Ovis aries: one gene and its partner. The protein of the gene in region 2 purifies or fractionates together with the protein of the main gene of each other region. This does not show direct contact. Links are inferred from orthologs where the notes say so. Each region holds a gene or a part of one and is shown on either strand. Other genes may lie near its edges.

The links. The genes of interacting proteins can lie anywhere in the genome.
Region 1: the proteins of PRKAR2B (region 2) and AKAP9 purify together in Homo sapiens (affinity purification with mass spectrometry; 3 studies listed by BioGRID and IntAct, counting the BioPlex papers as one, with this or other methods). This does not show direct contact. The link is inferred for Ovis aries from reciprocal best matches to the Homo sapiens genes PRKAR2B and AKAP9.

The regions. Positions count from the first base shown.
Region 1 is NC_056057.1:10,189,651-10,193,307, reverse strand, and holds part of AKAP9 (A-kinase anchor protein 9), read right to left. Parts: intron 2,828-3,657; coding exon 2,159-2,827; intron 1,945-2,158; coding exon 1,739-1,944; intron 1,437-1,738; coding exon 1,331-1,436; intron 1-1,330. UniProt on the Homo sapiens protein: Scaffolding protein that assembles several protein kinases and phosphatases on the centrosome and Golgi apparatus. Required to maintain the integrity of the Golgi apparatus. Required for microtubule nucleation at the cis-side of the Golgi apparatus.
Region 2 is NC_056057.1:49,772,806-49,776,517, reverse strand, and holds the end of PRKAR2B (cAMP-dependent protein kinase type II-beta regulatory subunit), read right to left. Parts: intron 2,581-3,712; coding exon 2,447-2,580; 3' UTR 627-2,446; downstream 1-626. UniProt on the Homo sapiens protein: Regulatory subunit of the cAMP-dependent protein kinases involved in cAMP signaling in cells. Type II regulatory chains mediate membrane association by binding to anchoring proteins, including the MAP2 kinase.

The DNA of each region.
Region 1 (3,657 bases), about 40 Mb from region 2:
CCTCACCAGGGAGGAAAGAGGGGCATATTAAGTAGATACGACAGCAAGTGTAAAGGTACAAGGCTTGAGTGAGTGTGTTACCTTTAAGGAGTTACAGACATGCTTATTACGACTAACCGTAAAGGCTGCTTTCATTATACAGACGACAGACCTAGATGTAGGTAGTGAAGAGCAATGAAAGGCTTAAGGCTGGAGCATGCCATAAACAAAATTTATGTGTGACAAAGAATCCTTCGACAGTACTCTGCAAAGTAAAGTATATTAGAAAAGAAAGATTGTGTCGCCAAGCTGTGACATCAGGAAGTTATTGCCCATGGTCTAGGTGAGGAATGCGGAAGGCCTGAATGCAGGCAATGACCGAAGGCACAGGGACAGACATTTAGGAGCCAGAAGGAACAGGCCCTAGCGACTGCTTGGGTGTGCGCGTAAGAGCAAAGGAAACTGATCTGTGCTGACTTTCAACTCTATCCCGGGTGATACCATGACCAGAAATGCGGGATTAGGACCGGAAGGAGGAAAGGAAGACGATGCTCAGTCTGGTCTGTGCCTGTGAGGTTCCTAAAGAGGTCACCACGGGGTATGTTTCCCTAAGGAAAGGTGTTGCGTAAATAACTGAAAATATAAACCTGGAACACAGGACAAAGGTCTTGACTAGAACCACAGTCCACAAGAAGATAAGCTACACAAGGGCAAGATCCTTATCAGATTTGTTCATCGTAGCCTCAGAACCCAATATAGTACCTGGCACGTACTAGGTGCCCAATATAAGTATTTGTTCAATAATTAAGTCTACTGAGAATTCAGGCTTTGGGAATGAATGAGCTTTCACATTAAGAGGACAACAATGGACGAGCATAGGAAGAAGAGGAACTCTTAAAGGTGAATGATGAAAGAAATGGAAGAAATGAGAGAATATTAACACAAAAGGTAAGGAAAGAGGGTATTTCAAATGGAAGAGGTCAAAAGTATCAAATGCTACAAAGAAGCCAAGAACTACAGGGACTGAACAGATTCACCGCGTGAGTCAACCGAGTGCACTGGCAGCATCCCAAGCGTGGTCTCACCGCGCGCTGCAGATAAAGGCAGCCTACTGCTGCGAGGAACTTCAGAATGTAAGTAAGAGGCCACCACAATTTCTCAATAATGGTAATACTGCTTCCCCTCAAACTTTCACTGTCTTCTGTTGGGGTAAGGCAAACATTACTAATATTTTAAATAAATGAAGCGATAAAAACTCTTAAAAAATGCAGTGTCAGTATCAAACGATCCGTGTAATTTCCATCATAGCTTCGCTCTCGATACTTTAAAAAGTGTTTTTAAAAAGTCTTACCTCTTCTCCTGGCTGGTCAGTTAATTTTTGTAGTTGTAAAATAATTCTATCAATATTTTCCTGAACCCAAACAAAATCTTCATCATCTGCTGTTTCAAACTGTAGTCTTCAAAAAAGAAAAAAAGGGCAAAAAGTCAAAACATATCAACTCAAGGAGCTGTGTTCCTAACACAAACATTGCCGGTCAGGTGACACTACTTCACCTCTTTTTTCTCTTTTACTAAGTTTCTCTTTGCCTGAGTCAGGGTGCTATGAGAATTATTTTCAGGTATATGAGTTCTGTTAAAGATCACCTTCTAGTGTAAACATGCATTAACTTTAAAATTTTCACTAGCTTCTAGTGAGGGACAGACTCTGCCCAGCTTGCCTAAGAATGCCATTTCCAAAAGCTAGCCAGAAAATTCTAACCTATTGGAGGCTTTCTGGGCTAGATGCTGTAGTTTTGACGCCACACACTGAAGTTTTTGTCTGATTATTTCCAATTCATGATTATAGCCAGTTCCTCCTCCATTCATTTCAATCATTTTAGGATAGCTTGATTCCTTTGTCTCTCCCATTTTCTGCTGAAGAACCCAATTTCTGGTTCGATCATTGGTTAAACTCCATGTGGTTGGCTAGAAATTTTGGACAGAAAAAGAAAAATGAAAATTGTACCACAAATAGCACATCACATTCTTTCTTAAGGGAACATAATTACTGTTTATATTCCAAATAGACTTCTATAGATTTATAAATGATTGTACATCATTTAATCCAGTATCAAAATTATATGATCACAGGACTACAATATTCTTCTAAAAGATATTTTAAAACAAAATGTCAATTTACCTCATTAAGATTCTGATACAGAATTCTTCTACTTTCTCGTGTTTCTTCTCGGTCTCGTTCTTGCTTCTGGAATTCCTGCATAATCCCTTGCAGTCGTTTTCCTTCCAGGTCTAGCTTATAAACTTGCTGCCTTTTCTCTTCCAGTTGGCGCTGAAGGTCTTCCACCTTGGCCTGAAGCTCGTGCATTTTCTTCTGTCCCTCTGTGTTGGCCTCCTGTTCTGTCTGCAGCGTCTTTCTGTGAACCTGCCTATCCTTTTCCATTTGCTGTCTTGTTTGCAAGGAATCCAGTTTGTATTTCTCAGTCTCACTTAACAGTTCCACGATACGACTGTGTTTCTCCTCTAGCTGCTTTTGAAGCTCCTTAAGGAGGTCCTCGGAGGGTAAGCATGGCCGGGGCTGCCCACCGTCATCGCTGCTCTGCAGCTGTGCACGCAATTCCCGCTCCCGATCCAGGGTACTACTCATTTCCCGAATCCGAACTTTCTCGGATTCAAGAAGCACCTGAAGCTCTAAGCTGCGGCCTCGTTCTTCGGCTAGCTGGGCATCGTGTAGCGCCCTTTGTGATTCTATCTCCTGCTGCGATTCATTCAGTTGTTGTCTCTGTTGTTCCAAAAGTTGACTCAGTTGGATATTTCTTTGTTTCTGACCCTCAAGTGAAAACTTCAGATCCTTGTAGGAGAAAGGTGAATTTGAGAATTTGTTCATGTTAATATTAGTAAAAATACCTCATAAGTATACAATTGTGCCCTTATGCTTTTATTAATACTAAGTTGGTAGTATTTGGTAAAAGAACTGACGACCATTTTGCTAACTTTTATCTTCAGTAGTTAGAATGTTAAATTATTTGGGCAGCCAGTTGATGTTCATCAAACAATATCAACAAAAGAGAGTTAAGCTAAATAACACTTTTTCTCCCAACATTAATCATATCTGGTTAAGGAATATGCAGCAGATTAATAATCTTAAAAGTATTTATCATATAATGTGATGGGAGTTCCTGAAACTCCTTGAATTTTTCCATGCATTACCACATAACTAAAAATAACTGGGCTTATGGAGAAGGCCGGGGGACAAACTACTCAAATGCTATAAACATCTATGATGATAAAAATACTGATAACTGAAGAAATAAAAGTCCTTGCTAGGCAGAAAGCTCACAATGCCTGGTGGCTACCATGGTGGACCCTAGGAAAAAAAACAAAAACAAAAACAAATGTAGCAGGGCAGAAATTCTGGCTAGGCTTTCCAGGTGGCGCCAGGGGTACGGATCTGCCCGCCAATGCAGAAAACACAAGAGACATGGGTCTGAATCTTGGGTCAGAAGACCCCTGGAGTAGGAAATGGCAACCCACTCCCGTATTCTTCCCAGGGAAATCGCACGGACAGAGGAGCCTGGCAGGCTACTGCGGATGGGCTCGCGAACAGTTGGACACAACTGAGTCACTGCGCACAGAGAAATTATGGCTGCATGGTTTTTTTAGCAAGTACTGGCCTTATGC
Region 2 (3,712 bases):
TTGCTTCGTGCTGTATGTTTTACCTGCAGAATTATAAAGCATTTTAAAGAGTCTGCTCGCCAGGTTTGTAAGAATAAACCAAACACATTCACAGAGCATGCGTCCCAGGTAGTGTTTTACGTTTATACACACCAAGCCCTGGTTTGTATCAACAGGACACACACATACACATATAAAACAAAGAAAAGCACCTTTGTATTAAAATTGGGAGTCCTCCCAGAATTCTTAGTCATACATGATGCATGCTTGAATGAAACATCGACAGAGAATTTCCAAACAGAAAGATTCTTGGCTAGTGATTAAACAGTGGCATCCATAACTCAAGCTTGTGGTGTTTTAATTACTTTAACACATACATTCCCTAGTTAGCCAGCCAGACTTGGTTATTCTAAATGGCTGAATGAGTCTGCAACATGTCACAACTATCTGTATCACATATAACCAATAGCTAAGATTTTTAAAAACCTCTTGTCCCACAGAACCACACTTTCTTGCTGCAAGATGCCCAGATCTTACCTTTCTTTTCACACATGCCGCACCTCTGTCATGCATTTCACATAGTATAATGTGCACTATGGAAGTCACAGGAAAGAACAGGAAAGAAAAAAAACACCTCAGTAATAACATTTTATTATAAAACTGTGCTTTATTATAAGGAAATTTTAAATATAACCAACAATACTGAAAATAATGTAACTGGCATTTACAGCCTTGGTCAGAGTTCTTTATTAAACAGGCATTTGTAGTTAACAATTAGCTTATGCAACAAAATAGGTAACTTGAAAAAGTGAAGGAAGTTGAAAATACAGAATGATAAACCAAGAATTTGTGGTTCTTTGTGTTTTTTTTCTTGTTTGGTAGACATGACTTTTAAAATCTGAAATATTATAGAAAACAAGTCTGCACGCAGTAAGCTCTCTTCCCGTGGGAAAGTTTGCAAAGTAGTTAAAACTGTCCTAAAATGTGGCTGAAGGTATATTTTACATACTTCTTATATATACATTATCCAATTCACGTATCTTTACCACATTTTCATTATACAAGCAAGACCAGAAACATTCTCTAATAAGACCAAACTAGCCACAGAATTTTTTTACCCATGTATATATTTCTTTGAAACATATTTCCCAAAATGAAACCACTGATTTAAAAGGGAACAACTGGTTAGAATTAATGTCTCTAGACACTGGGGTCACATAGTCCTAGAACTCATGTAAGAGTATACTGCTTTGGTGGAATATAATTCATTCATTCTATGTAGCAGAATAAGCATTATCAATTATCAACAAAAATCTATTCAGCTGAGTTCATTCTGCATTTGCAGAATGAAGTGAATGCAATTGAGAGTCTATATTAAAGCAAGTAGAGGGGCCTAATGGAATACTTGGAATGGGCAGAAATTCCTTTTATTCTTATATATGTTTTACTTACAAGAATTTATTTCTCCCACTTTGGAGGAAACCCATGGGAGCAGATGTCTGCAAGGATTTTATTACACATGTCTAGTGAAGAACAAAGAAATATCTATGGGCATGTTGATAAGGACCCCAAATATTTTTGGTATAGGATACTTTTTTTTTAGCATTTATAATAAGATCTTAGGCGTTTAGAAGACAACAATTAAGTTTAAAGAGCATTTAAAAATATTTGTGACATTAAATGTCAAACAAATTTTTAAAGATAACAAATACAGAGAACTGCAAAAATGGAAAAAGGAAGCATAGATAGATGCTTTATGAGGAAAATAATGACCTTTCATCTAAAGACGCTTTCCTGTTGTTGTAATGACTAAACTGCCTGTCCTTAAAACCACTAGAATATGTAGGCTACTGACATTATACCCAAGAAATCAAAAGGTACTTTATTGCAAAAATATAAAAGATTTTAAAATTGCATAAGATGTTTTATACCATTTCACCAATAGGCCAAGGCCAGCACATAACTTATCAAGCCAGAAAAACTTTAAAACAAAAATGGTTAAATTGTACTTACTATATATAGTGAGTTGTAAAAAGAATGTGATGCCATGCTGTATAGCATGATTCACTGCCAAGTTCCCTTTTACATGGGTGTAGTCATAACATATCAATCTGAGTAAGTCAAAATGAATACACATTGCCTATGATAACATCCTTTAATTATCTTCTTAAACAGATACTTTCAATATATTACAATCATCTGAATCTTCAGTCAAATCATAATTTTGTGGAGTAGAAAGTCATTTTATCAGTATGTTGATTTTTTTGGATCTACTCTTTTTAGAAAGTGACTTTAAAGCCTATTGACTATTAAATATCTATTCTGTTTACTGATACATTGTAAATGTAAAAAAAGGAAAAAACCTGAAATCACAGAAAATGCTTGGCATCTACACAAACACATTCTCAGTGGACTAACCACTACTGTGTAATTTTGTCACTAGAGGTCTTGCTCCAATACTTTTGCTTCATGCAGTGGGTTCAACAATATCCATGTTCGTTCCAAACAGGGCGACTAATTGCTCTTCATAGGTAGCGATGTTCCTTTTCATGATTTCCATGCAGGGTCCCAAAAGCCTTTCAAACGCTTGCACATCCATGGCTAAGAAGAGTGGAGAATAAAAGAAAAATAACATTCTTTACAAATCTGGAATTTCTCAGTCACTTATGGTACCTATTTCACATATGTCAGTGATGCAATGGCATTTTTGCATAAATAACAGATACAAGAAAAAGGCATAAAGATAAAAACATTCCACTTCAAAAAGGAAGCAGCCAGTGGCCCGTGGCCATATGACATTGTATTGGAAGTTCCTGATCCAGGTTAAAAGAATGAGGGATTGTTATGGCAAGACCTTAGAATTTAAAAAAAAAAACAAATACATTTTTATGTCACCACTTTAGCAGTATGAACTCAGGGGTGCAAGGTAGTGTTTTCTATCTTGTTTTCCCTCCTCAGGACTTACAATGCAATGTTGTGAAGACCAAATGTTACCTTTTATAATTTTTTATACTAGGGTCTAGTCAATTCAAAATGGTAGCCCAAGTAATGATTTTGTCCGCGTCTGTTAAGTATATGCTCCATGTTGCTTAGATTGCTTGTCTCGAGCATTTTTAAAAACTGAATTTATATGAAAATATGATCATGCTATCATTAAGTTAAAATTCTTTTTTTTTTTTTTTGCTTCTTAAATTTACAGAACTAAAAAAGGCAGTGTTTACAACAGAGTGAATGGAAATTCTTGCACTGCTGGCAGCATGTAAATAAGTGCAAATACAAGTGATCTGGCAATAGGTATCAAAAACCATAAACAGAAAACCCACTTCCAAAAAGCGTTTCTCAGGAAAAATCCTAGTATTTTTCCTGAGTAGTATATGCATACACCCCCACAGAAAAGCTCTCCCCCACAGTGCAAAGGAGCCAAAACTCAAAAATTATGTGACAGTATCAGAAGTGAGTAAATAATTCAGCATGTATTTAACCAATGTTAATATCTGATGTAATAAACATGAGAAAATGCCTAAGCTATAATGAATGAAAGAAGCAGTTTACAAAACTGATTTAAAACTGAAAACATATAAATAAAAAAGGATGATAAGAAATTATAATAGGATGTGGAAATTGCTGGGTGGTGGTGGTACTGGGTAACTCTTAGTTTTTCCTACCTTTCTGTATTTCTCAAATTTAATGTGACTATACATTTTATTGGAGAAGGAAATGGCAACCCACTCCA